Diceros bicornis minor: one gene and its partners. The protein of the gene in region 1 interacts with the protein of each later gene in a biochemical or structural test. Links are inferred from orthologs where the notes say so. Each region holds a gene or a part of one and is shown in the gene's direction. Other genes may lie near its edges. The genes, in order: MAPK1, IER3, ESR1 and MBP.

Region 1 (7,788 bases):
TATTCTTGGCCACTTCTTTCTTACAATGGTACATATTCAGAGTTTGTCTTTTGATCTAATCTGAGATTTTCATAGTTTTATACAGGAATTTTAGCTATTTATGTTTTTCTTATTTATTTACATTTGCCTTATTTGTTACACTTTGTCTTAACTTCCCATCATCTATTTTTTTGGTGTTTTGGCATTGTTTTTTATGATTCCTTGCCATTTCCTCACATCTACAATGTGAGGAAAGTGTCTAATACACTTCTTGGTACAGGACTCTTGATTTCTGCTGTGTGAATTACATTTTCCCTTTTATCTCCTATAATAATTTATAAGGTAGACATAAAGCATTTTACACTAAAAAAATATGAAAATTATACTATTTTTAAAAATAACTTTTATCTTCACTTTATGTAAAAGACTTAGTGCCTTGCTTTTTCTACCCTCTTTCTTCCTCTCTGGTTTTCATTGAATTAATCTGAGGTTAAAAATCCTCTGTCTCAAATTCTTTTCTTTTGCATTTTGTTTGTTACCATAGTGACAACAATTATTTCAACTTATCAGCATCAAACAGTCTCTACTGAGTGGTGTTTTTATTCACTTATCTCTCTATCTTTAGCTGGTTTCAAGGCTCAGTGCCAATTTTCTCTCATTTCATCATTCATGAGTTTCTGATTCATGTCTCAGTGATTTATTATAAAATTCTGAGCAATTTTTGCAGAAAAGGGAGTTAACTGGGTAGTGTGTTAGTCACAAACTCTTGTGGTTTCAAGTTACAGAAACCTACCTTAAATTGACTTCAGTAAAAAAGAGAATATATTGGCTCACGAACCTGTAAAGTCCAGGCTCAGTTGAATACAGCCTCAAACCGTGTCATCAGGAAATTGTCTCCATCTCTGGGCTCTGCTTTCCCCGTCTTACCTTCATTCTCAGAGGGCACTTCTCACATCAAGGCATGTTTGGCCTGAGACTCATACTCACTGCCGTAGCACCCCAACAGAAAGGAAGTACTCCTTTCTCATTGTTTCTGCCAAGTCTGGGCTGAGTGTCACTGGCCTGGATCAGGTCACATGCCCATCCTTTGAACCATCTGTGACTCTGATTAGGGAGCCCTGGGTCACATACTTACTCTTGACTTGGGGGTGAAGAGTGCAGAAGGGATGGTTCACCAAAGTAAAATTGGTTTTTTGCTAGCAGAAGGAGGAGGAGTTGATGCTATATAGGCAAAAATGACAGATGTCCATTGTTTTCTAAGATTCTGCAGATCTGTGAACTGTCACCACTCTAGAGAGGCAATAAGGAAGACATCCAGGTGGCCAGCTGGCCATTCAAGCAAGGTCTTCTGCTTCTATAGTGGCTTAGTATGGTTCCAGAGCCTAGCCCTCAGCTTTGCGCTTCCAGAAATTTGTTGTTGTCAATGTAGCTAGATGATTGTTCCCTCTGGGCCTGCCTCATGCTAACCTGACTCAGCAGAGACTGATGTATATCTAAATCCCATCTTAGAATGAACAGTAATTGCCAAAGGACCTGAATAGGGCTGTCCTCTGGTCAGTGCACTTTCCCTGTCAAAAACCACAAGTGAAGCCAAACTTTAATCATAACGTTACTTAGTTCCCATGGAACCACGCAAGAGAAGTTCTCTGGAGAAAATTAGTGGTCAGATGCATCATGCCATGATAGTGTGGTGGCTTTAAAATGTCCACAAATGCTGGAAGAGTGGAGAGAGAACACGTTACAGGGAGAGAGACAGGCATGTGGTGACACTGAAAGACAAAGAGAACTCAGAGTAGTCCAGTCTGGTTGAAGCATGAAGCACAAGGAAGGCAGATTAAGCAGAGTGGTGGGGGAGGGGTGGTCAGCAAAGGCCTCACTCTGAGTGCAATGGGGAGCCACTGACTTGCTTTAGGAAGGGGAGTGACATGGTCAAATGTGTTATGGAAAGATTGATCTGGGTATAAGGAGAAGCAATTGGAGATTGGCAACACTGAAAGCAGAAGGGTTAAGGCTATTGTGGTAGCCTAGGTGAGAGTTGATGCAGCAGGCTTTACGCAACAGGATGGCAGTGCGGGTGAAGTGGATTCATTTAAAACAGTGCTTTTCAAAATTCTGTAACTACGTATGGCGACAGATGTTAACTAGACTTATTGCAGTGATCATCTCGCAATATATACAAATATTGAATCATTATGTTGTACACCTGAAACCAATGCAATGTTGTATGTTAATTACACATCAATAAAAAAATAAAAAAGAAAACAGTGCTTTTTAAAGTTTAATATGCATACGAACCACCTGGGGATCTCGTTAAAATGCAGATCCCGATTTAGTAGGTCTGGGGTGAGGTGCTGCATTCCTAACAAAATCCCAAATAATGCTGGTGCTGCTGGTCTGGAGACCACACTTTGAGTAGAAACTATTTCAGAAATATTAAAGAAATAGAATTTATATGAGTTTGTGACTGGTTGGAAAGGGGGAGGGTTGGGAGCGAGGTAAAATGAGTTGTTAAGGATCATACCCAGACCTCCAGCTTGAGTATCTGGGTGGTGATGCTATCCAAGATAGAAGATGAGGAACACGTTTCAGTGGGGTAAATAACAATAACAGATAACATTGATTGGATACTTACTATGTGCCAGGCTCTTTACATATATTGTCTTATTTATTCTGTACAACAAACTTATGAGGTAGGTACTATTGTGATCTTCATTTTAAGAGCGAGGAAACTGAGGCCAAGCTCATATAGGTACTAAGTGGAGCAGCAAAGATTCAAACCCTCTGGCAGTCTGAGTGCAGAACTCCTCCAGTTAACCACTGGCAGTCTGGATATATGAAGTTGAAGCTCTTGGAGGATGATGTCACATGGAGCTGTCCAGTGGACAAGATGACTTGAACTTCAGGAGGCAGATTCTGAGCAACAGTTAAAGACCTAGAAGGAATCAAGGCATTGGAGGGGATGAAACCCTCCAAGGAGGGTTACAACCTACCCCCTCAGAGTGCTGTCAATCTTGTTCCATTTTCCTTTCCATTTAATTACAGAGGAGGAATCTAAAGAAAACCAGTTTTTACCATAATCTTTTTTTTCTGATTGGATACTGTGTTTGTTCTTTACCCCCGAAATTATGTCTCGAGGTTGGTTTCTGCTCATTCATTTTTCGGCATCCCAGCGAACTCACCCAATTTTCCATCTCCACCTCAGATCTTTTCAGACCTAAGGCAAGTTTTCTTTTATTATCATTTTAATTATTGCCTCTAATTGATTTGCTCTGACTTCTGTTAGGGGAATTCCTATAGTTTGACTCTCCATGAAGTTTTCTTCTCAAAGAATTCCAGCACTTTGAATTTTTCTTATATTTATCTTCTATATTGCTGATTTGCTCTGTTGCATTATCAAATCTGCCTTTTACTGCTTTGACCACTGAATTTTGCTTTGGTTATAGTGGTTTTAATTTCATAGTACTCTCCATTTACTTTGGCCTGTTCTTTAAAAGACGCAATGTCCTCTTATAATCAAGAATAAGCATTAGGTGCTTTCTAAAACTGGGTTCTGCTTCATGGACTAAATATATTTCAAAGATTAAGTTTCGGCTCTAGCACTTTCTTTCTTTTCTCATGTGCCACATATTTTTTTCCTATGGGGTTTTTTAAAAATTTGCTTAATCACCTTTGAGACTGACTACTTGAACTTCACTGATGTCTGAAAGTCCTGAGTTGATGGCTTTCAAGATCACAGTATTGGACAATCAGAATGCATCATCTCCCACCCTGACTCCCCCTCCAAAGATGGCATGGGAAATGGTTCAGAAGCAGGGGCTCCATCATTTTCTGTCTCATTGTGTTAGCTATTCTTGGCATTCATCTGCTTCAGGATTCCGATTTTTACTTTTCAACCTCTGGTGTGTGTGACTATTTCTGAGCCCAAGTGTGTTTGTCTCATTTTCTCTAGATATGGATGTTTTGGTTTTAGCGTTTTCATCTTTGCATTCATACTTCAGTATGTCCTATGTCTAAGATTCTGTGCATCTGTGCAATCTGGGTCTCAGTTTCTGAATCTCAATGTCTTTCTCTAGTGTCTCACTCCACTACTCCCTAACTCCCTACTCTGCCTTATACTTCTTCATAGTACTTACCAGAACTTGAGTATTTCATATGTATATATTTCTATTTAATCTATGCCTCCTTCTAGAATGTAACTTCTGTGAGGGTGCATGCCCAGGGACATGGCAGGTGCTTCACAAACACTCGTTGAATGAACCTCTGTCTGAGTAACGGATCCTCTCAGAGTCTCTCCTTTTGGTCTCGACCTTTGTATTTCACACTTTCTTAGTACGCAAACGTCTTTCTCGGTCTCGGTCACGCCTTTCGGTTCCTATCCTCGTCTCGAGGCCTCTAAGTTCGTGTGTGCACCACGGACCCGCACACGCCTGGCGCAGACCGCGGCCGTGTGTGGCGCGTCCTCGTCTCTCACGCGCAGTCCCCGGGGGCTCTCTGGCTCCGCCAGAACCCCCACTCTGGGTATTTCCCTTCCCCTGACCGTCTGGCAAGCCACGTCCCAAATCTGTCCAACGCCTCCGTAACCTCCTGCATCTCGGGAACCGCCTCCCGCGCCGACTCCCCCGCGAACACACGTGACCACGCAGGGCGGTGCCTCCGCCGCCGCCGCAGTGCTTCGCCCTGAGCTCGCCGCTTCCGCCGGCCCGCGCAGCCCTGCCCCCAGGCCGCGGGGAGCCAATCGGCGTGCACGCTGCCTGGCCCCGCCCCGGCGCCCTCGGCGCGCGCCCCTCCCTCCGCCCGCCGGCCCGTCCGTCAGTCAAGCAGGCAGTCGGTTCGAGGGATTGTTGGGTGTCGAGTCTTCCTGAGCGGTGACCTCCTTGCTGCTTCCCGGTCAGCGGCGGCGGCTGCACCGGCGGCGGCGCGGTCCCTCCGGGAGGTGCGGCGTGGGCCGAGCGGCGGCCGCGGAGCGTCGAGCCCAGCGCGGCGGCGGCGGCGGCGGCCGGGCAGCCAACATGGCGGCGGCGGCGGCGGGCGCGGGCCCGGAGATGGTCCGCGGGCAGGTGTTCGACGTGGGGCCACGCTATACCAATCTCTCGTACATCGGCGAGGGCGCTTACGGCATGGTGTGGTGAGTGTCCGCGCTCGCCCGCAGGCCCGGCCGCGCCCGCCGCCCACCGCCCGGGGCCGCCGCGGACGCAGCTGCGGCCTCGTCCGCGCCTCGGCCTCCTGCGCCGCCGCGACCTCGACCCCGGGCTTCGCCGCGGTCCGCGCACCGGGGGCCTCGGGCGGGGCCCTGGGGCCGGGCGAGGTTTGCGTGTTGCTCGCGGCGCTTCGCGGGTCGACCCTCACCCGCCGCGGGGAGGGGCGCGGGGGGCGGGGGTCGGGACCAGGGACTCCCGGAACCGGGCGCAGCGCGAATTTCAGAGCGAGGACCCCCGGGCAGGGAACGGTGGCGCCTCCCGTCCCCCAGTTTGCCAGCCTTCTTTGCACATCCGATTGTAAAGCCAGGAATTCCTTCAGATGTTTGTCGGTGGTGGCGGCGGCCGTGGTCTTGAAAGCGGTTCGCCTCGGGGTGTGTACAGAATGCCGAAATAATCACATACGATGTTCCTCCCGTCGCCTGTGTTTTCCGCGAACGGCTTTCATGAAACATCTTTAGTGGTGCTAATGGTGCTCTCCTGCGCAGGCTTTCTAAAAAGCATTAGCGGCACCAGTGCTGTTTGTGGAATATTTCAATCTCGAAGTTTTTAAGTGGATTTTAATATTTTACTGTTTGCGTTTCAGGAAGAGTAAGCCAGCATCGCTCTCTTGATTTATTAAGGAGTCATCTGGAGTTGGGCCTAATTTGACTTTTTTTTCTTTGCCTCGAGTGAGCGCTCTTATCAGCATAAACGTCTCCAGACGTTTTAGCACAATTACTGTGGACTTTTCCTATTAATGTTTTAGTGGTCAGTATATATACAGCCTTAATGGAGTTGTTGCAGAATCACGTGCAGGCTCTCTCATCTTGATCCAGATCCCTCAGATTGTGGAATGGAGGTGACGGTATTGTTTTTATTAGAACCAACTAGCTGTAGTGTTTTGTGCTGATGAAGACACACCTAAATCTTACAGCTAAATCTTCTTGTGTCTTTTTGTGTTGATTGTAGGAAGCAAATTAATATTTATTGAACACTTGGCAGGTACTGTGCTAGGTACGTTATCTCATTTTATATGAACAGCTACCTCAAGAGAGGAAGAGGTGGTAATATCCCTCTTTCAGGTGAGAAAGTATTTCGAGGTGAAGCCAATCCCTAAGGTCATAAAACTAAAGAGTCAGACTTGATATTGTAGACTGAGATCCTACTTCAAATGCTGCAGCTCTTCCTATTACTCCCTGCTTTCCTTAAATAGTATTATTAGTAATTTTAGAATTTTAGTATGTTTTACTGTTATAAGCAAATCTATTTTAGAAACACATTTAAATTTGAATGATTATAATTTTAGAAATGCCATAGAGAGCATGTGTTACTAGGTATCATAGCTAGACAGAAAGACTCATTAAAATTCTTTTTTAAAATGAAGGCCTAATAGGGACCGGCCGGGTGGCGCAAGCGGTTAATTGCGCGCGCTCCGCTGCAGCGGCCTGGGGTTCGCCGGGTCGGACCTCGGGCGCGCACCGATGCACCGCTTGGCAAGCCATGCTGTGGCGGCATCCCATATAAAGTGAGGAAGATGGGCACGGATGTTAGCTCAGGGACAGTCTTCCTGAGCAAAAAATAAAAAACAAAAAGAGGAGGATTGGCAGATGTTAGCTCAGGGCCAATCTTCCTCACAAAAAAAAAAAAGGACTAACAGATTTTTGAATATTTTCGTTTTCTTCTGGAGCAAAATGCTTCATGGTGTCCAACTGTGGAAATTAATGTGAACTCAGAGGCTTAGGAGCCGAAAAAGAAATTAAATTAGGTTAAGTCTAAAAGAAATAAGGCCCTAGAAAGTAACAGAGAGCAAGTACTGCCGGCAGCATCACTTCTCTGCATACATCTGATTGCTCTTGCACCTGCTGGTGAGGACGCCTGTGAACGTGTCTCATTGTGAAAGGCTCACAATTGGCCATCACATTCCTTTGACCCTTTTAAAAAATGTAACACCTGAAATATGGACTGAAAAAATTTTTAGATTTAGGACATTTCAGTTGAAAGTTTTTTTTCCTATCTGATAAGATTTTTACTAGTCTTTAGATGATTTAGATCTAGTAACTGTTTCTGTCACTACTGTAGAGTTATTTGACCTAAGTCTCTATCAGGTGAAGTGCCAAGTACTTTTGCTGTAATTTCCTTTACCTAAGTAAAATATGAATATCATTGGAATTAGAATCCTGGGTCCAGATTATAGTTTTTTATCTTCAGGTTGATGATATACCCTAGTAAGAATTTAATCTACATTATACATTATTAGCATTTAGTAAATGTTGATTAACAGTACTGGGTTTATGGAGGGCTTTTGTTTGTTTGTTTTTTGTTTTGTTTTTTTGAGGAAGATTGGCCCTGCACTAACATCTGTTGCCAATCTTCCTCTTTTTTTCTTTTTTCTCCCCAAAGCCCCAGTACATAGTTGTGTATCATAGTCCTAGAGTTGCAGCTCTTCTATGTGGGGTGCCGCCTCAGCGTGGCTTGATGAGTGCTGAGTAGGGCCGTGGCCAGGATCCGAACCGGCGAACCCCAGGCTACCAAAGTGGAATGGGAGAACTTAACCACTACACCACTGGGCCGGTCCCTATGGAGGGCTTCTTGATTGAAATGTTAAATTTTTTTTTTTTTAATTTTATTTATT
Region 2 (6,499 bases), on another chromosome or scaffold:
GGGTGTTTAAAATCACTTGCATTGGCTGAACAAGAACTAGGAACGCAGAAGACTGCTTCTCTGGAGAAAAGAAAAAGCCACAAAACCTGCCTGAGATGGAGAGGGAGGGAAGAGGGGATGAAAAGAAAAAGAGAAATTGTATCTTTGATGATCTTAGCACTTGCAGGCTATTTTCTCATCCTGGTCTCCTACTCCTAGGTTAGCTCATGGCTGCCCACATCTGCTTCAAAGTAGCCCTCTTCCCATAGCCATAATAATGGCCACCACAGCAGAAGCACCTACTGTGTGCCTAGGAGCAGTGTAATCATATCCTTAATCCCTGCAATAACCTGACAGCCAAGTTGCCCACTTTTCAATTGAGGAAACATTTTCAGAGAAGTTAAGTAGCTGGCCCAATATCACATAGTTAATAAGCAGCAGAGCTGGAATTTAAACTCAGTTTCCTCTAACACCACTAGATGATAATATGCTCTTTTTGCTACCCCATGTTTCCTCTCTGTTTCAAACTCCTCTCAAGTGGACAAATAGTTATTCCACATCTACTAACCTCCAGGTCCAGCTCAGAGCATCCAGTTTTCATTCCCTGAGTCCCCTGGCTGCATCCCTGTATCCCTGCTTCCCTCTCTCAGAAGCTCCCACATCCAAATATCTGTCTCCATCTCCCCTGCCCATTCTGCCTCCTTCCCATTATCTTTGTCCCCTAGCCAAGCCTGTGGTCAGCCATGCAGCAGTACTCCAGGTGGAGCAGCAGGTGTGACTCACTCTTATGTCAGGGACTTATGAAGGGTGAGGGCTTTGCCATGTGTCACCTGCACAGTTAGTCCTGATCCAATGGCAGGTCCCCCTGAGCCTCAGTGGAGCATCTCCCAAACTCCTCTTTGAAGATGAAGCTTGGGGGCCTCGGAAGGGACACAGCCATACAGACACCTCAGTGGAGACCGATTTAAGAATACTGATTAAGCCCCTACTAGGTGAAAGGCCAAGTCCTGGAGATCCCACAGAGCTATCATGAGGGAAGGGCGGATGTGGTCCTGTATACTCCAGGAGATTATATTCCCGTGGGAGAGACAGACAACAACAAAAAGTAAACAAATCCATAAAATGATTCCCCACTGTGGTGAGTGTTACGAAGAAAATAAACAACGGGCTAAGAAAGAGGTTATGGGAGGTCAAGAAATGAGGAGAATGAAGGCACACTGTGATCTTGGGAAGATGGGGAGGAAATGAGGAAAGCTGGAAGTGGAAGAGGCTAAGGGCCTGTTCCCGTAGGATTGGGGCAGTGAGAACCGGTACAGCTGCTGGTCTCAGCCCCTGGTCCTTTCTGGTCTTAAATCGTCCCCCAGCCCTCAACCCACATCCCCTCATGGCTTAATAATTCACTTTCAACCTTTCTCCAGCTTCCTGTGTGGCAGGAGGGGGCGGGGCAGAGCCCTGGCTCTCTGAAGGTAGCAGGAATGGGGATGGGATTGGTTGAGAAGGAATGGCCAGCCATCCGGGTTCTCCGCTTCTTCTCTTTGTCCCATTTTGGTCTTGCCATAAAGAAAGATCTCTCTGTGCCAGGAGGATGGTGAGGATAAACAGGCCCAGCTGGAGGCCTGGATTCCAGATGTGGGAGGTAGAGTGAAACAAAGATCCTGACATCTTCCCTTCATTTCCCCTCCCCTGCCTAATGCCCTGGAGAAATTTTCCATCATAAACAAGTTATGCATTCCTGACCTTGGGTGCCTCCCCCTCTCTCCCACCAGCCAGTTTTCTTCTATCATCACCATCTCCCCTCACTCCCAATTTATGTCTCTGTGATCATGTGAGCCTGTCCACACTTACAAGTAGTCATGTATTTATGTTGATCATTGTGTAGTGTGCCACTTGTCTTAGAAGAAGGGTGTAGGTTGGGGTGCAGGCTCACTGTGCTTGGGTTTTATAAATGTAAAGATGATGGTAGGCGTGGGAAAGGGATGTGTCTTTGTTTGTAGAGGAGGTGGGTTTTATGCCTGTCAGGAAGAAGTGTGTAATGCTCAAGGGGCCTCGTGTGTTTAGACAGGAGTAGTGGGTGTAAAATAAAGTGACACGTAGACCCAGGAAGCAATTGTATATACAGTAATTATGTATCTCCAATTGTGGGGCTGTCCCCTTTGCCTCCCCACATATCCTAGGTTGAGAAATGCCCTTAAGTATTCCTCATTTGGTGTCTGTATAAGGATTATCACAGCTTTTCTTAAGATGTTGTAAATTGTATATGGAGTTTGAAGGAGTGTGTCCATGTCCCAAAAGCTTGCGGTGATCCAGCCAGTGTGTGAATATTATATGTGCATTTATAGTTCTGCATTTTCATCTTTCATTTATCAAGATTCTTAATAATGGGTTCTATGGAGGACACAAAGATATGTGTGACACAGCCTCTAATGGAAAAGGTCATACATATGCTTGCCATGTGCACCAGGCATGATATGATCTGGTGTAAAGATCTGAGCCAGATGTATTTCGAATCCCAGGAGTCAGCTTTGATCCTCTCATCGTCTTGCTGTCAGCACCCCCACTCTCCATGCTCCCTGACTCCAATGATACCCATCTTATTGCTAAATTCTGGTGATCTTATGCTAGGAAGGTCTCTTATAGCCACCCCTCCTCTTGGTTCCCTCTGCCATGGCTCATTTCAGGCCCCTGTTTCTTTCTACCTGAACCTTTCCAATAGCCTCCTGTCCTTGCCTCAGTGTCTCCCCATCCAGGGCATACTCCTCATCCCACTCACTTCCCACCTTGAACTGCCTTCCTTTTATGTCATCCTGTGACCCACACACTCCACAGTCTAGAGTCAAACCCAGTCTCCTGGCCTGGCAGCTAAGCTCTCCCCACTCTGCCCAGCTCCTTCCAGCCATCATTACTTCCCACTTCTCCTTTACGGGAAACTCACTCTGGGACTGTTTTTCTTGTGATTCCCCCAAACACATCCTGTACTTTTCCAGCTCAAGGCCTTTGCTGATTCCATTCGCTTTCTCACAGTCATCTTCCTCATCTGACTCCATGATGCCGCCCACTGTGCAAGGTCATCTCAAATGCTGCTCTTCCACAAAGCCTCGCCTAATTGATTAGAACACTAGCTCTTTTGGGTCCCCCTTATACTTAGTCTTCTATTTTCTTAGGACCCTCCAGGGAGTTCTCCTGGTCAGAGTCCCCTCCCTCTGCCAGAGAGTAAGGTCCGCAAGGCTGAGGTGCCCGCTGTCTCTGGCTGGCCCCACTCAGCAGCACACACGCTGAAACCAACCTCAGTACTCTCAACAGTGGCTTTAACAGGATGCCTGGCCCCCAGAAATGCTCAAAAGATGTTAAAATCTGTGTCCATGAGCAGCTGTCTCTAAGGCAGTTATGAAAATGTGTTCATTCTGTCTTGAGCTGAGTTATTACCGTTACCACAACATCTGCGTAACCTCTCAGTTTAAAATGTTCTTCATGCACATTTTGTTACTTGATCCATACAACAAGGGGCAAATCTGGGTGGCGCTTGCCTTTGTGTTTTGTGGTCCTCTGCACCAGCTCTGTGTCAACATTTCTGTACACATCTAAGTGGGTAGCTTTGCTGGGTTGTCCCTGTGCAGTCTCTGCACTTTTGCCCTGTGCGTGTGTGTGTGTGTGTGTGTGTGTGTTATGTGCATGTTGAAGGGGATCAGAACATGCCACCCTAAAATGTGCCACTTCGGCATGTGGATTATTTTGAGCTGGAGGCAATCAAGACCCAGCAGACTCAGGAAAAACTTTTTACTTCTCCCTTAACTGCCTAAAAGAATTTAGATAGGGGGCCTGGCCCAGAAAAGAGAGCTATTACCAGAGATAACTTTTTTATCTGAAAGACTTACCTGCATGGTAGGGCCAGCATCTGATTACCAAACACCTGCTCTCCTTATCTTCCTGTGAATTGCCCCCCTCCCCTTCAAAGCCCCAGGCCCCTATCCCATTTCTTAGCTCAGGATGGCATATAAGCCTCAATTGCTTGACTGCCTTTGAGTCTCCTGTCTTGGTAGGCTCCCATAGGTACGCAAATTTGTTTTTCTCCTGTTAATTTCTTATGTCAATTTAATTATTAGACCAACCAAAGAACCTAGAAGGAAAAAAAGAAGGAAAAATGTTTCCGCCTCAACAATGTGGGGGGGTGTGTGTGTGTGTGTGTGTGCCCGCTAAGGCAGGCAGGGTTGTGTCTGTGTGTTCTAGCGTGTTCATTTCTCTTCTTCTTCTTGGCTATTTCTTACTGACTTCCCTCGTCGGGTGTGTGTTTTCTATGTGTATTTACAAGTGTGTGAATGTGCGTGTGTAACTGTGGTTCCCTGACTTGCTGGGTCAGTATTGTGGCCAGCAGTTTGGGATGGCCAGACTTCTTATGTAAGCCCTCCTGCCTCCCCAGAGATGCGGCCTGTGGCTGAACCATCTTCTAAACTCTCTGTGGGACCCTCTCCAGCTGCTACATGTCCCAACATGTGCCTGCAGCCCGGCATTTCGCCCATCCCCACTCACAACTCTCCATACACACTTGGGTGCTTAGGGTTGCACAGGCCAACTCTCCACCCCCTCCCTTTGCTTCATCCGCGGAATTTCCAGCCGGCTTCGGCTCCGGCCAACCGCTCCGGGCCGCGGGTGGAGTCGAAAAGGGCCCGCCCAGTTCTCTGGCGAGTATAACTAGTTCAGCGCAGCTGCCGCTCCGCACTCGGTCTTCTGCTTCGCTTGGGACAAAATGTGTCACTCCCGCAGCTCCCTTCCCACCATGACCGTCCTGCGATCCCCGACCTCCGTCCCTTCCACCAGCCCGGGGCCCAGGCGGGGCTCCGGTCCCGAGATCTTCACCTTCGACCCTCTCCCGGAGCCCGCCACGGCCCCCGCCAAGCGCCCTAGCGCCTTCCGTGGGCACCGAAAGCGCAGCCGCAGGGTCCTCTACCCGCGAGTGGTGAGTGTCGTCGAAGTGGACAGTGGGGGGGGGGAACGGCTGGACGCCGGGGCCCTGAGCTGACCTGTTCCCTTTGTTGCCTCCCCTCAGGTCCGGCGCCAACTGCCCGCTGAGGATCCGAACCCTGCCAAAAGGCTCCTCTTTCTTCTGCTCACCGTCATCTTCTGCCAGATCCTGATGGCTGAAGAGGGTGTGCCGGCACCTCTGGCCCCGGAGGTCGCCCCCAGCGCCGCGGCCCCCGCGCCTACCCCTGCGTCCCCGGTCCTCGAGCCCCTTAATGTGACCTCGGAGCCCTCGGACTACTCTCTAGACCTCAGCACGTTTCTCCAGCAACACCCGGCCGCCTTTTAACCGCGACTCCCCACACTCCCGTAAAAGAACCTGAAAAATTAAAGAAACACCAGGTGTACCTGGTGCGCGAGAGCGTATCCCAAACTGGGAGTCCCGAGGCAACTCAGACTCAGAGCAAACACTACAGCGGAGACGACAGCCCGCGCCTAGGAGGAGGCAAGCGCGACACGCCAGGGCTGGGCCGGGCGGAGAAGGAGAGCGGCGTTAATTTATTTCTCAGTGCTCCTCATTAATATTTATATGTATTTATGTATGTCCCCCCTAGGTGATGGAGGGGTGTATGTAATATTTATTTTAACTTATGCAAGGGAGCGAGATGCGCTCTCTTGCTGCAAGTGCAGATCTCTCGGTATTTATTGAGCTTTATGGGATTGATGGAGGCGGGGCGCCTAGAAATGAGGGAAGCAGGGAGAGGGAATGGAGAGGACCCGGGTCCGGGAGGGCCCCCGGGCTGAGAGTCAAGGCCGGTGGTGGGTCGCAGGTTTACGGTTGGCCCTTTTCGTCCTCCAGCATCTCAACGCCGCGAGTCTACTGTGTGAGGCTTCGGCGGGCCGTTGGGAATACGGTCTTTGGCCTTCGAGCCCTTCGAAGTTGCCCCCAAGGGGTGGCTGCGGGGTCGCGGGTCAGTGAGCTGTCAGGGGGCGGCTGTGGGGTCGCCCGGTATGTTCTGTGAACACAAATAAACTCGATTATTGTCCGCAGTCATTTGAGTGTGTCTTTGCAAGCGACAATTCCCCACTTCTGGCGCCAGGGACCGGCGCGGGGGGCGGGGGGGTGGGGAGGCCACGTCCCCAGCAGGCGCTCTGCCCCGGGCCCCGAAGCGCCTCTTCCCGGAGTCACGGAACCCAGCATCCGGTGACCGGATGCAGTCGTTCGTTGCCCAGTCTGTGGTTTCCCCAGGTAGCGCGAGGCAAACCCGAGATGAGGCAATCTCCCTGGGGTGACCCACGGAGGTCAAGTCCCGCGCCCGGGGGCGGAGCGCGGAGCGGCCTGGGCGGGGCTTCCGGCTCGGGAAGATCGGCTCGCGAGGCTGCCCCGGTGGGCGGGGCGGACGGCGGGCTGCGGACCCGAGCGGTGCCTGCCGGGAAAGGGGCGGGCCGAGCGCGCGGAGCCGAGGGGTGGAGGGTGGTCCCTCGCGGGGGCGGGGTTGTGTCTGTTGCTGCAACAGGGTGCGGCCGGGTGGGGGGCGCGAGCGCGGGCCCAGGTTCCAGGAAGGCC
Region 3 (6,934 bases), on another chromosome or scaffold:
GAATCTGGGAAGAAGTGGGAGGAGGGAAGAAGCAGAGGTCCCTAGGAGGCTCTTACAACAGGTAAGGGAATGATGGGCTGAAGGAGGGTGATAGAAGTGGAAGGAAAAGGGAGAGATTGCATAGCTCGAATGCTGCAGAATATGGAAGGCAAGAGAAAGACAGCCCTCAAAGTCCTCTGGCAAACAAGCACTAGAAGAAAATTGGCAAGGTGCAGTATCCTTTCCCACCCCCATCACCAAGCCTGGAGGACGAATCTTACCAAGGAGGGGAAAGAGAATGCTGGAGAGAAAGTGTTTAAGAAAACTGCCCTTGTTGGACATCTTGGACTAACTTTCATCGTTAGCCTCATAATAATCAAAGTCTATGAAGAGATAGCTAGACATCGTATCCTTCCTACGTTCAAGGAGAATAGTTGCAGATTCCCCTTCCTTTCTCTTTCTCCCTTTCTTTCTTCTTCCTTCTTTATTTCTCTCCTTTTCCCATTCCTTCTCTTCCCTTCTCTCTCCTCCCTTCCTTGCACATTCTTGTTTTATTTTGGACTGGTCTACTGCATGGGTGGCCACCGCTGACGCAAAGGAGGAGTCAGGATTCACCATCGTCACCTACATACAAAGGGTAACTGGCTTACTTTTCAGTGTTTGACTTTATCGCTGATTGTAGAGAGGGTTCTTCTGTGCTCCAATATAGCAATATTTCAGGCCTTTCAAAGTACAAAATAAATTTTGGCATTATGACATCATTAACATTTTGTAATTTTTTTTTTCAAATAACTTTTTACTTCTTTCTTTACTTCAGAGTGGTCTGAAGAGCCACTCATAAATCTCTCGGTAACTGCATAGGGTCTCATGGCCAGAGACTGGCCACTCCTGGCATTGTGATTAGGGTCATTTAATACCCAAGGGAGTGACTAATGTTTGGCAGCAAAGGGTCCACTAGGTGTCACATGTCCTGAAACCCTAGGCGAGGGCACACTAGGAACACCTTATTATCGTGTGTTAGCATCATGGTCAAGAGAAAAGTTGAAGACCAGATGGATCCATGTGGGCATCATTGGGAAATGAGAGCCCCATCCCCATGATCAACGCTGGCACAACCAGAGAGCCTAAAATCAGTTTAAAACAAAGGCACCCACCTTTGTCTTATCTTCGTACCCCAGGCTTTTAATAACATATTTTTTCATATGTTTACAGAAAACAGTCAACTGAGCTATTCGTGGAAAGGTTTGTGGGTTTGGTTGATGAGGTGGAGGAATATTACATTTCAGCTGGAAACACATCCCTAGAATGCCAAAACATTTATTCCAAAGTCTGGTTTCCTGGTGCAATCGGAGGCATGGCAATAGTGTGTCTGTTCGGAGACCGGGAGCTTGGGCCAGCAAGGCATCTGATCCAAGCGTATCCCAGAAGGCCTTTATTGTTAAATTATATTCTTCAGGAGAAACCACCCATGTCACATTTTGTAAACTTGATAGCCATATACTTTTGACTGGCATTCTATTTTAGCCGTAAGCCTATGATTTACAGCAAGCCTGTTCTCCCTGTTGCTCAGGATGGCAGTGGAAAGCATGGGGCACTTTCAGGCTCCCAGGATAAGGAGCAAAGGATGCTGGAGTTTGCTTCTCCCCAATAATGCTGACTCTAGCTGTGCCACACTGCTCCCCATGAGCAGACAGCAAGCTTCTCCTCACTCTCCACTGCCATTCATCCAGCTCTGTGCAGCAGCCCAGCTGCTGTGTCTGCCGGGAGGGGCTGCCAAGTGCCCTGCCTACTGGCTGCTTCCCGAATCCCTGCCATTCCACACACAAACACATCCACACACGCTCTGCCTCGCTCACACACGGAGCCACCCGCACATGTGAGCACATTCCTTCCTCCCTTCTCACTGTCAAGCCCTTGACTTCTCCAAGCCCATGGAACATTTCTGGAAAGACGCTCTTGATCCAGCAGGGTAGGATTGTTTTGATTTCTCTCTTCGTAGCTTGAGCATTTTGAGAAAGCAACTTACCTTTCTGGCCAGTGTCTGTATCCTAGCAGGGAGATGAGGATTTGCTGTTTTCCATGGGTTTATGTGTGCGTCTCCTTTTTCTTTCAAGACTTGTAGGATTCTTTGTGCAATTTCTATATAATTTGGCAGGTTCAGATTTTTAAGAGCCCTATGAAGTGCTTTTGCATGTGTTTAAAAAAGACATCTGAAAATTGGAAGTGTAATTTACGAAAACGAAATCATCTGTAAAAAAATTGCTTTGGAAAGTAATGGTTGCTGGCCATAAAGAGAAATATCTGTGATTCACCTAATGTGTTTTTAACCCTTTCTTTGCTTACAATGGATAGTTATTGATGCTAAGCTCAATTTTAGCTTCATAATAAATCAGCTACATCTGCATATTGTCCCCCAATAGTCTGTCTGTTCTTGTAAGAATTAGGTAAAATGTGTACTTATTAGTATTAAAATATCCAAAAATATTGCCATTAGTAACAGCAACCTTGGCATCCTTATATGCCATGAAGATTTGTCAGGTACTCTGTTGGGTGTTTCGGATAGCAATTACAGCAAAGTATTAACGGTTGTATCTGATGGTCATATCAGAGTCTATTAGGCTGGGGCAAAGGAAGTTTATTAAAAAGTATAAACTATCCAAGAATATGGGTGCACAGTATATTTACCTTATGTTTTTGTTTATATATGTGTGTGTGTGTATGCTTACCTTTTAATTCAGTTCAAAACTTTTTTCTATTCCTTTTTATCTGGATATTTGATTCTGCATATCCTAGCCAAAGTGAACCGAGAAGGTCCAGTTGTAGAATTAAAGAACAGAAATGTACCATTGCATTTTAAAATTTCTTGGTTCGACCAACAGTGTAACATAATTGCCAAGAATTTGGTTAATGACCTGAGGTTACGCCTTATATGAAAAGGTCACATTTCATATTCAGTTTTCTGAAGTTTTGGTTGCATAACCTGTGGAAGGCACGAACCCCGTGTGCTCCTAACCAAAGGTTTTTGTGAATCATCATTCACATGAGAATTCCTAATGGGAGGAAGTACAGTGCTGTGGTCCAACACAAACATACAAGTCCGACTGGGAGAATCTCAGAAGGTCCTGGCTAGAATGGACCACTTTGGAAGAATTTTGCGGATAAGGAAACTGAGGTCCGTCAGCATTCTCCAGATTGCAAAATGCAGCTCTTCCTATATGTACACCTTAAATCTCCACCCGCTTCTCCCTAGATGCCTTCTGTCAGTCCCTGCAGCTGCTAAATATAGCTGTCTGTGGCTGGCTGCATATGCAACCGTACACCCTATTCTATCTGCCATATCTCAGTTACAGAGTGGTCCTCCCCAGGGTCATTCTATGTACACACTACATATTTCCAGCCAACAAGGAGAGTGAATCAAACAGAGAGAGAGACAAACAGAGATAGATTGGAGTCTGGCACGGGGCACATAAGGCAGCACGTTAGAGAAAGCCGGCCCCTGAATTAGTCTTCCGAGTATGTTTTAAACCCCATCTTCCCTGGGCCACCTTTAGGAGATTGCTCGGCGCCCCCGCCCTCCTGCACTGAAGTTCAGCCTCCATCCAGCAGCGACAAGTAAAGTAAAGTTCAGGGAAGCTGCTCTTTGGGATCGCTCCAAAACAAGTTGCGCCCGGAGTGATGTTTAAGCCAATGTCAGGGCAAGGCAACAGCCGCTGGCCGCCTTCCAGCACCTTTGCGATGCATATGAGCTCGGGAGACCGGTACTTAAAGTTGGAGACCCGAGCCCGGGAGTTGGCGGAGCGCGCTCGCGCGGGGCTGCACTTGCTCGCGTCCGGCCGCGGGCTCCACGGGACGGGCCGGCTCCCGGGGCAGGGCCAGAGCCGGTGTCGCGGCGGGACATGCGCTGCGCCGCCTCTAACCGCGGGCTGTGCTCTTCTTCCAGGTGGCCGGCCGGCTGCTGAGCCCTCCGCCGCGCGGGGAGACGGTATGCGCCTTGCCCGCGGCCACTGGCCATGACCATGACCCTCCACACCAAAGCATCCGGAATGGCCCTGCTCCACCAGATCCAAGGGAACGAGCTGGAGGCCCTGAACCGCCCGCAGCTCAAGATCCCCCTGGAGCGGCCCCTGGGCGAGGTGTACGTGGAGAGCAGCAAGCCCCCCGTGTACGACTACCCCGAGAGCGCCGCGTATGACTTCAACGCCGCGGCCGCCGCCTCCGCGTCCGTCTACGGCCAGTCCGGCCTCGCCTACGGCCCGGGGTCCGAGGCGGCGGCGTTCGGCGCCAACGGCCTGGGGGGCTTCCCGCCGCTCAACAGCGTGTCTCCGAGCCCGCTGATGCTGCTGCACCCGCCGCCGCAGCTCTCGCCCTACCTGCACCCCCAAGGCCAGCAGGTGCCCTATTACCTGGAGGACGAGCCGAGCGGCTATGCCCTGCGCGAGGCCGGCGCTCCGGCGTTCTACAGGTACCCGCGCCCCCCGCCGCGCCACGTCGGGGTGGCCGCCGCGCGCCCGGCGGGCGGGAGGGAGCGGGGAGCGGGGCCCGCGCCGCCCCAGCTCGCCGGAGGCCGCAGGCCGCGGGGCCCCGGGCGCAGGAGCCGCGGGACGCGCCACCCCAGTGCCCGCGCGCGGCCGGCCCGGGAGCGATTTGCGGATCTCGCCTTCCGAGCGTCAAGTTCTCTCCCCGGGCGGCTTAAAAAGATTCTCTTCTTCACCCGCTGCCGTCTGCGTGACAGGCAGATCCGAAACCCTGTGCGCTTCCTGACTAAGCAGATGTTGGAAAGCCGTACAGAGCAGCAGTTATTTGCGGGGGAAACACCCCAAAGCAAATAAACACGGGGCTCTCTGAGTCCCTCGTAAATGTCCAGCTGTGGTATTTCGGGCTAGAGGTGTTTGGGGTTCGCGGACGTCAGAGTTTCATTTGTTGTTAGTATTTTAAAATTTTCTTTTAATGTGCTTGCAAAATTACCTTTCATCTAGAATTTCGGATTGGAAACATGCCCACTATGGTGGTGATGATGATGATGATGATTTTTGGGGGAAGAGATTTGTAGCACCTGCTTTCCCTCCTCCCATCGCACGCTCCAGGGCTTTAGGACTGAACTGCGCTCCTCAGGAGAGCAATACAGGGGTTGAATGGGTCTTAACAAGTTTCTGATTTCCCAGTTATCTGGCTGGGTCCGTGTTGAAGCAAATTGCTGGCATATGACTTCTGACAGCCGGGAATTTATAGGTGTCCTGTGAGTTTAAAACATGCCATATCGAAACACGAAGGTTTTGGAATACTCTCCTGCCAGCTAAGTTCCCTTTCTGGCCTACCGGGCAGAGAATGCCCCTGGTGCGGGTGCCGGGTCAGCTCGGTTCTTCACCTTTCAGTCGCTCTGGAAGAAGCGTTGGCAGTCCAGGACACAGGGGACACTTCTGTGACTTCCCTGTGACTTGTGTCCTTATTTTTTTTTTTTCTAGTAGACGTTATATTTTCCTCCTCCTTGCTCCTCTCCTTTCTCCCTTTTCTTGTTGATGGACCTGGGAAGGGTGTGTATTTCTGAATACCTGTGCCCTAGGCGCCCGCTGGACCAGATACCCTGAAGTGTGTTTGGGAGGCTCCAGGGCGCACACGTGGCTGGGCGCTGAGTTAGGCACTGCCTGACGGTACATTGGTGTCTGGACTTGCCTCCTGCCCTCGCCCAGATCCTTCTGCATTGCCAGCTGTGGACCGTTTTCTGTTTAGTATTCTATTTCCAGGGATATTTATAGCAGAAGAAACAGGAGGAAGGTGCAGATTGGCCTCAGAGAATACTGAAGGGCAGACTCTTGGGGTATCTGAACATACTTATATCCCTCAGCCTCCTCAAAGGACTTAAAAGCATCCCACAGCTAAGCAGGTCCAGCCTGAGTTATTATTTAAAAGACAAGCGATGAACAAAACTTTAAAAAGTTGGCATATTTCAAATTAATTTCACTTGTTTTAATTCAGGGTTAAAATGGAAAGAGAAAAAGAATTTATTCTGCCCCTCCCTTTAAAAAGTGTTAGAACAAAATATAACGATTAAGTCTAATTCACACAACATTTTAAACTCCTTGATGTGAAGAAAGGCACTGGTGTGAGATGAATTCCATAACCTTATGGTGGACTCCGGAAACTATTTTCTTTTCCATTTAATTTTCAGTTCTTTTATTGCAAATTAATGCCACTGAAATTCAATGGGCACTAATGAGACTGCTCCTTGGTAGATTATTTACTGCCTTGCTAATAATTACGAAGTGAACACGGTCAAATGAAGAGGGGATCACATTTTATTCAAAATTGTTCATCATCCCATAGCAGATAATATAACTATAATATGCCCCATCTTAAACTTTTTGCATTTGATGATATTCAAATACTTCTAGAATAATAAAAGAAATGACACAGAACTTTTAAAAATAAAGTAAAAAACTCACGCAAATGGGATTCTGTGTGGAAATTCAGTTTTAGAATGATTTTTCCTTTGTAGTTTACTTCCCGTAGCATCCTTCCTTTTTTGTTTGAATTCTGCCTCTTATTACCCAGGGAGGAAGTGAAGGGTCTATGCAAGTGTGGTTTCAAATGGTCATATGTTATTTAATATTTTTTCCCTGTCACTTTTCCTGTTTGAATAACTCTGGGTAAAAAAGAAAAGAATTGATTAGACTGTTTAAAGAACATTTAACTTTCTTCAGTAGTTATAAAAAGTTTTAGGGGCCGAAAGCAGTGTTTTCAAACTGCTTGTCATGACCTAGAGTATCATGAAAATGAGTTTAATGAGTCTAGAACTTTGTGTTGTTAAGGAAGAAAATAGAAAAGAATATAAGAGAATATACTAGAGGGCATAATATTTAGTAAGGGTGGGTTTTGTTTCCTGAAAATTTGTTTTAATTATACATACTTGTGTGTGCTGACTGTGATATAAAATATATTTCATACTGTGGGTTGAGGT
Region 4 (7,498 bases), on another chromosome or scaffold:
GGTCTCATCTGCAAAGACCCTATTTCCAAACGAGGCCCCACTCACAGGGACCTGGCAGGACGAGGACGTAGCTTTCTGGGGACACAACTCAACCCATAACAGTGAGTTGTTCTCAACAGAAACGAAGTTTCTTCACCACTTCAGGTAAACTGCAGAAAACGTACGCCTGGTGGAGGAAGGCAGATCGGGTGTGTGGGCAGGAAGGAGAGAGGACCATGTAGAGAACAGAGGTGCAGACACACAAGCCGCCTCGCCTCACAACAGGCGCCCCGTGGTGGGCAAACCTTGGATTTGATGGTCACTTTGTGTTTTCCCTCCATAGGACTTGGCGGTGGCTCTCACCTGCGGCCCCACCTGTCTCCTCTCACACAAGCACCTCCTTCGCACGTGTCGTCCTGTTTGCTGGCTACTCTTCCCTTACCCCCTTCATCTGGCTAACTCCTACCCATCCATCAAAACCCTCCCTTCAGAAAGCCTTCCCAGACCCATGTCTCACCACCGCCCCCTCACGTGGCTGCCCTTCCACGGTGCTCAGCTGGCTCACCACTCTCCTTCTTCATCTGGCTCTAAGGATGCACCTTATTTAATTGCTGAATAAATAGTTCTGAATAAATAAATGAGTGAATGAATGAACGAAATGCTTGATACATGAAATCGTCAGTTAATAAAATACTTTCTTCTCTGGAAGTGGAATCATGGTTATTTACAAAGAGTGTAATAAATTGGGGCCTGGGCTGTGGCGTCCACACTCTCGACATTTCCTGATCCCCATCCTTCCATTTATCATTCTAACCGACCTTCCAGCTACCACTGAGGCATAACAAAGCATCCCAAACCTAGTGGAGTAAAGCAACAGCCATTTTGTTATGCTCCTGGATTCTGGGGATCAGGAATTTGGAAAGTGCACGGAGCGGATGCGCCTTCCTGCTCCGTGAGGCTGGGAGCTCAGCTGGGAAGACTCAGGGGCCGAGGGGGACGGGGACAGAAGTGTGTCTGAAGATTTGTCAGCGTGCGCCTCCCCTGGGCTGTCAGCAAGAGCACACGCAGGTGGTCGCTCCAGGTGGCTGCCTGGGCTTCCTCAAAGGACGGTGGCTGGGTTCCAAGAGCGAAAGGCTCAAGAGAGAAAAGGGGAACTCCAGGGCATTGTCATGATCCAGCCTCAGAAGTCCAGAGCCTGACTCTGTTAGTGGAGGCAGTCACAAGGTTCACCCAGGCTCACAGGGAGGGGACACGGACCCCACTTCTCCATGCCATGAGTCACAGTCACAAAGGAAGGAGAATATGTGGGACTGGAGTTGGTGTCAGGCCATCTCTGGAAAATACAATTGCCAACTAACTCCATCTTATGGTATCTACTCGCCAGTGCAGTGAGCCCTAAGAAATTAACAGGTATATTGAAAAGTAACCCATACGTAGTTAGGGATCTTACTGAAAAATACAGAAATTCTAGAAGCAATTAGAATGGTAGTTAACTACCAAGTATGATATCTATTGAAATACATAGATTTCCTTCTCAAATACAGAGAATCGCTAATATATATCTGTAGCTCACTAAGAACAACTTTAATCTCTATGGATAGCAGTTTGCTTTTATTTTTATTAACAAAACTATAGAACTATGGTTAAAGAAAAATATATATACAGTATATACACACACACTTTATAAAACAGTTTAAAAATACAAGAAGTTGATGGTAGAAAAATGTATGAAAGATTTTTTTGTTTTTTCCCACATAACCAGAGACCTACAAATTTCCTTTTCTTTCTTTTTGTCCTGATGTTTCACCAGAGGTGAAGTAACAAATGGCTTTTTGTGAGTGTGTTTCTTGTTGTGTGCATGTGTGTATGTGAACGTGTGTGTGGTTGTGGTTGTGTGTGAATGTGTGTGCGGTTGTGTGTATATGTGAATGGACACATAGTTGTGTGTGTTTGTGGGTGTCTGGTTGTGCAGGCGTGTGTGGCTGAGCCCTCAAGTGTTTTCCTTGTTCATATAACGGCTTTTTTTTCTATGTTGCATTTTCTGGAGTTCGTGCACCTAATTTTCTTCCACTGACCACAGCAGAGGCCATCCAGTTATTAACTGGAATTTATGGTGAAGTAGTCAGCCCTCAACCCTGTACAGGTAGATTATCTGCTTTACGAACATCACCAGCAAATTGTTAATTACAGACCAGGATGAAAATGAAGTTCAGGTCTTTTCTAAGCAAAAATATAATTACAAAGGTAAATCTGTTGATGGGGAAAGTAAAGAAAACTCAAAACGCATGCAATCTGGTCTACTGGAAATTATTTACATTAATTTACTTACTTCCTTTAGTTTGGGTAATTTGGAGTTTAATTCGACTTAATAAAAATTTACTGAGTGTATATCATGCACAAAACATTGTGTTATTTGCTGCAGTATGAAAGACTGAAGGTTCCTTCCCTCAATATCTGAAGTGAATGAGAGGTAGAGGGAATTTGCAATATGATTTTCCTAAAAATATCGAAGAGACGATGAGGCCTGGATCATTCATCCTTTACTTGTCAAAAGACTCCCTTCAGTTTCATTCAGCAAAATGAATCTGTCATTTTGCTAAAAGACACAGGGCCATCTTTATGCAAAGTGCAACTCCCCATGGTGATGTGCCGGCCTATGTATGCCTCCTCCACCTAGGCTCCTCTCCCTGGTGGGCCAGAGGGGAAGGTGCTAAGACTGGACCTCCCAAATGCCCATCCATCGCTCTATTAAGCAGTGGTCCTTCCTCCCTCACAGACATTTTCCTTGAAGTACCCATGAATGTGGGGGCATTATATCCCCACAAAATATGCATGGTGGAATTTTACAAATACTTAAAAGAGTTTTAACTGGAGCTGGCAAGCCTGACATTTGCAGAGATGACTGTTGGTATGTGTAAAGTCTCTATAAACCACAGAGAAATCAGCAGAAGCAGCATGAAGCAGAAGAACAAAGGATGCTGTTTCAGAGTGGTCTGTGCGCCTCTCCAGCCTCAGCCTTCACCGACATCTGCAAGTCAGGAACCCCAGTCTCCTCGGCATCCCCATCTCCCCAGGAAGAAGCAAAGACACATCTGGGGAGAGGACAAGCTGTCTGTGATGCCCAAACTGGAATCCAAATGGAACCCAGGTCCTGGGTCCCCTGGCCTGAGCTTTAAGGAGTTGGGGGCGGGGCTTAAGAATGACTTGAGCCAGGGACCTAGGAGCTTCCCCAGTTAGACTCACTGCCCTGTGCGCCCTCAGTGTCTGTCAGGCTCCCTCACTCCCCCGGTTATCCATTCCTGAACGTCAGTGTGAAGGCACGGGGCAGAAACATTGGGAAGGAGACAAACTCGATGTTCCGCACAGCCAACACCCCTTTTTCCCTGCCCCTCCTGACCTCCCACCTCAAACTCCGGGAACGCCCACGGTTTCTCCTCTGGCCACTTCTCTCAGGAAACGATCAGATTACGCGTTCATATTACTGTGGACATATTTCTCACAGAATCACCAGCATCTGAACATAGTTGATAAATCCCCGGGGCTGTGAGGGCGGCTGGTCTGGGCAGGCAGCCCTGAAACCACACTAGGAGTCGGCTCTACTGTCCCCCGCAGAGCTGGCCCAAGGGACAGGGGCTCCCTGAGTCTTGCCAAGCTCCAGACTTCCCCTCTCCGTCATAAACACCGTGTGGGGCCCCGAGGGCTTCTAGGAAGTATCGTTCAATTCCCTAACCCAGAATCTAAGTCAGGAGGGAGCTAGGGTCTCAGGCGGCGTCTCTCCCCCTTCCTCCTACTTTCTCACCATCAGGAGGAAGCCAAGAATCCAGGGGAAAGGGCCCTCTGACTCCACCAGATCTGTGTGTCCAAGTGACAAACGGACCAAGAGGATGACACCGACCACAAGCCAATAGATGCCTCGGCGCCTCAGGACCCAGGTTCGCCCCTCCGACTGTGCCTGTTTTGGTCTGTTTTACCAGCGCTCTTCTCCCGCCTTCTTCGTGGAAACCTGTGCTCTCCGGCGCAGCACTTGTCAGGGTGCTGGGACCCTGCAAGGCGAATGCCCGGGTGCTCTCCAGGGCCCGGCCTGGCACAGGGCGAGCACTAGAGACGCGGCACTGACCGGGCAGTCGGAGCCCGCGCTCTGGCCCTCGGGCGCCTGCCTATGGAATGGGGCGTGGAGGAGATGCTATCTCCCGTCCCTCCCGGCCAGGTCGGGCGGGGGTAGTTTCAGAGGCTAAGCCACGAGAAAAGGTTCAAAGAGCAGTTCAGCGGCGGCCCCACTCCGGCCCCGCCCTCCCAGGGCTGACCCTGCGCCCCGGTCCCCGCGTGTCCCCGGAGCTCCGCGTGGCAAGGCCGTCCCGCAAGTGGTCCCCAGCCCGCAGGCAGCGCCGGCCGGGGGCGGCAGGTGGGCCGGGCTCCGCTCGAGTCCGCGGTGTTTACCTGGCTGGCTGGAGCCCGGGAGGCGGGGGAGGGGCGGAGACGGGGCGGGGTGCACGCCCGGCCCGGGAGCAGCAGCAGTCAGTCACCGCCGCCGCGCGCAGCGAGGACGAGCCTCCGGCCCTGGCGGCCCGCGTCTCCTACCCCGGAAGGCAGTGCCGGCGGCCCCGGGACCCCGCGCTGCCCGCGCTTGGGGCCTGGGCGGCGGAGAGGCGGCCTGGGACCCCGAGGCGCCCATCGGCCTGGAAGCAGCGAGCGCAGTGCGGTGGGTTATCCTCGCCGGGGGCGGGGGGCGGCGCGGCGCTTTGTCTCCGCGTCCTCAGAGCGGGGGACCGCGGGGACCCGGAGCCCGGGACGCGGGGCTAGAGGGGGCGGACGCCGGGGGCTCTTTCCCTGCGCCGGACTCGGGGCTTTCCCGGGCCAGGGCGCGCGGGGCTCCCCCGGGCAGCGGCGCAGGTGGAGAGGCAGGTGGCAGCCCCATGGCCTCCCTGCGAGGGAGTGGGCGCGGGTGTAGACGCCAGTCTATGGCGGCGGGGCTGGAACCCGACGGATTTCCAGGTGTGGTCTCTGGCCGGGCCGGGCGACCGGGGTGGCGGGAAGAGCGGGCGGCCTAGAGGTGGGGTTTCGGGGTGGGAGGTGACACAGGTCAAAGAGGCCGCTCTGGGCGGTGCGGAGACGGGGCTAGGGGCGAGCCGACGGGTGGGCCGGGGTGCCCACCAGCGTGAAGTGCTTCCTAATTCCCCGCCTGGAGCCCAGCGGACGACCCCGCCTCCCCAGCCCCAGACGAAGCACAATTTCCCTTTGAGCGACGAGGGCGGCGACAGGCGACTCGCCTGGCTTCCGCCTTGGCAGGGCCTGTCCCGCTCGGGCCGCACCGCTGGCAGCCACCTGCGCCTCCTGTAACCCACCTGGGCCCACCTGCAGCCATCTGCGCGCCTGGCGCCGTGACCCCTCCTGCGCCCCACGCGCCGGGTTCGTTGTTCCAGAGGGTGTCGTGTGTTCCGCTGTCACTCCGCTGACGCCCGGCTGGCTTTGGTCTTGTGGGATGCTGGTGGTCAGCGCCTCATTTCTTTTAGGGTCTACTCGCGTCCCCTGTTTCGGAAGGCGGAATGGGGTTTGGAAAAGTATTTCGGTTTCTTTGGGGATCTCCGTCAGACTGGCAGGAAACAAGCGCGTTCTGGTTCCTGGTTCTCTGTTTTCCAATTGCGACAACGTGAGAATCAACAACATGTGTTCAGTTTATCTCTGCGTCAGTGGAAGGCACGTGAGAGAGTTGGGATGTGTTGGGAGGGCTGTAAACGTGGTCCGGGGGGCCTCTGGCTGTTCTGGCAACGGACACGGACAACCGGCTAGGAAGAGAGTTTTTCAGAGGAAGGGAACTGTAGGGTGCTGCCTATTTAAGACCTGTGGGTTTGGAGAAGATTGTAGCCCGCCAAGCCCTTTACACTTTACAGACTGTCACCCACGAGTCAGGGACCACCCTGAATCCGGCTCAATCCTGCACCACAGGCCGGCTGGCAGGCCCCCCCTGCGTGACGTGGGGGCCTTTTTAGACCTTGGGGCCCCGTGTGCAGAGCTGGCGAGAGCCTGGAACAGAGCAGCCCTCAGTGAACAATGACCTGCAGGGAGGCCAGTAGCCTAATAGCTAAGGAAAAGTGCCCATCGGCGGTTTTATTTTTTTAAGTGGGATAAACGAAAACCTGAAGGGAGAGAAGGCAGTTAAAGATTACTGTAAAATGTTGGTTAATAGTAACTCGCAAGGGTTTAACTGTTCTGAAATGACTACTTTTATTAAGTAGAGGTTAAACAAAAGTTATTTGGTTCAAATCCGGTTTGAAAATCTTTCTAAAGTATCACATCTCTGCCCAAAGATAAGAAAATTTAAGAAATGTTCCGTGTTGCATGTTTAGGTGTTGGGTTGCTCCTCCGTGGTTTTGAAGGTCAGGGCTTGTGTGTCGTCCATGCTGGCAATGACTGTGCTGAGTGAAGGTGTCTACTAAAAGCTGAAAAGGAGTAGAGACCAAGCTTTCTTATGACTTCTATTTCTGCTTGAATTTTTAAACATTAATTGAAAGTTATTCTGTTTGATTTTTAGTTTCTCTCTAGATTCTTTAAAAATTAGACACAAGATTAGCAACTGCCTCTGTGCCTTTTCTATCCAAGTATCCAGGTAGCATTTATTGACCCCTTATGAATTGCGGAACTCTCTTCTGAGAGCTGTACCACGTTATTAAGAGTCAAGACGGGACTGGCCTGGTGGCATAGTGGTTAAGTTCATGCACTCCCCTTCAGCAGCCCCGGGGTCAGTGGTTCTGATTCTGGGGTGTGGACCTACACACCGCTCGTCAAGCCACGCTGTGGCGGTGTTCCACATACAAAATAGAGGAAGATGGGCACAGATGTTAGCTCAGGGCCAGTTTTCCTCAGCAAAACAAAACAAAATGTCATGACTACCTTAGGATACCCTCATCTGATAAAACTACCCTATAAATACCCTCGTTTTTACTGACGAGAAAGCCAAGGCACAGAGACACCCCAGGAGTTCAGTTCAGTTCCAGGAGTCTCCCACCAGCCCCTAGTTGCAGCCCTGCCCAGCCTCGGTGAATAGGACACCTTGCAGACTTGCAGAGCTGCCTTCCATTTCTTTTTCTTTTTAAAATCCCACCTCTAATGAGAGACCACACCCAACACAATATGCTTCCTCTTCAGAATGATTTGACTCTACGGTGCTGTCGTGTGTCTGTTAGTCATCCTCTCCTTAACTTCCTTAGCTATCAGTAAAGGAGGAAAGAAAATATTCTAATTACTTAGCATAATTTTTATTAAGTGGTTGTTAAGCAGTAAGACACTTCTATTGGTCCATTAGAGCTACTGAAGGAAGTTTAAATGGGCCTGAGTTTGGGGGCTTTGGGAGCTGGGTTTAACACAACAGTAAGCATAGAGGGAGACCCTCATGCTCCCGCTAAGCAGAGATGCTGGATGAGCAGCTAGTGCATTCTCCTGAGCAGATTTCAAATCTCCATCTAAACGTGTAGCAGTCAGGCTTCAACCAGAGAAACAGAACAAGAGGAGATAGGTGTTAGCG

What was found.
Region 2: of the proteins of MAPK1 (region 1) and IER3, one has a biochemical effect on the other in vitro, tested with the Homo sapiens proteins (2 studies listed by BioGRID and IntAct). The link is inferred for Diceros bicornis minor from reciprocal best matches to the Homo sapiens genes MAPK1 and IER3.
Region 3: of the proteins of MAPK1 (region 1) and ESR1, one has a biochemical effect on the other in vitro, tested with the Homo sapiens proteins (3 studies listed by BioGRID, with this or other methods). The link is inferred for Diceros bicornis minor from reciprocal best matches to the Homo sapiens genes MAPK1 and ESR1.
Region 4: of the proteins of MAPK1 (region 1) and MBP, one has a biochemical effect on the other in vitro, tested with the Homo sapiens proteins (16 studies listed by BioGRID and IntAct). The link is inferred for Diceros bicornis minor from reciprocal best matches to the Homo sapiens genes MAPK1 and MBP.

What each region holds. Positions count from the first base shown.
Region 1 is NC_080774.1:30,335,467-30,343,254, reverse strand, and holds the start of MAPK1 (mitogen-activated protein kinase 1), read left to right. Parts: upstream 1-4,788; 5' UTR 4,789-4,988; coding exon 4,989-5,104; intron 5,105-7,788. UniProt on the Homo sapiens protein: Serine/threonine kinase which acts as an essential component of the MAP kinase signal transduction pathway. MAPK1/ERK2 and MAPK3/ERK1 are the 2 MAPKs which play an important role in the MAPK/ERK cascade.
Region 2 is NC_080753.1:34,380,547-34,387,045, forward strand, and holds IER3 (radiation-inducible immediate-early gene IEX-1), read left to right. Parts: upstream 1-4,687; 5' UTR 4,688-4,720; coding exon 4,721-4,930; intron 4,931-5,020; coding exon 5,021-5,281; 3' UTR 5,282-5,982; downstream 5,983-6,499. UniProt on the Homo sapiens protein: May play a role in the ERK signaling pathway by inhibiting the dephosphorylation of ERK by phosphatase PP2A-PPP2R5C holoenzyme. Also acts as an ERK downstream effector mediating survival.
Region 3 is NC_080778.1:16,963,461-16,970,394, reverse strand, and holds the start of ESR1 (estrogen receptor), read left to right. Parts: upstream 1-3,930; 5' UTR 3,931-3,989; coding exon 3,990-4,441; intron 4,442-6,934.
Region 4 is NC_080755.1:65,461,272-65,468,769, reverse strand, and holds the start of MBP (myelin basic protein), read left to right. Parts: upstream 1-4,497; 5' UTR 4,498-4,678; intron 4,679-5,121; exon of another isoform or gene 5,122-5,385; intron 5,386-7,498. UniProt on the Homo sapiens protein: The classic group of MBP isoforms (isoform 4-isoform 14) are with PLP the most abundant protein components of the myelin membrane in the CNS. They have a role in both its formation and stabilization.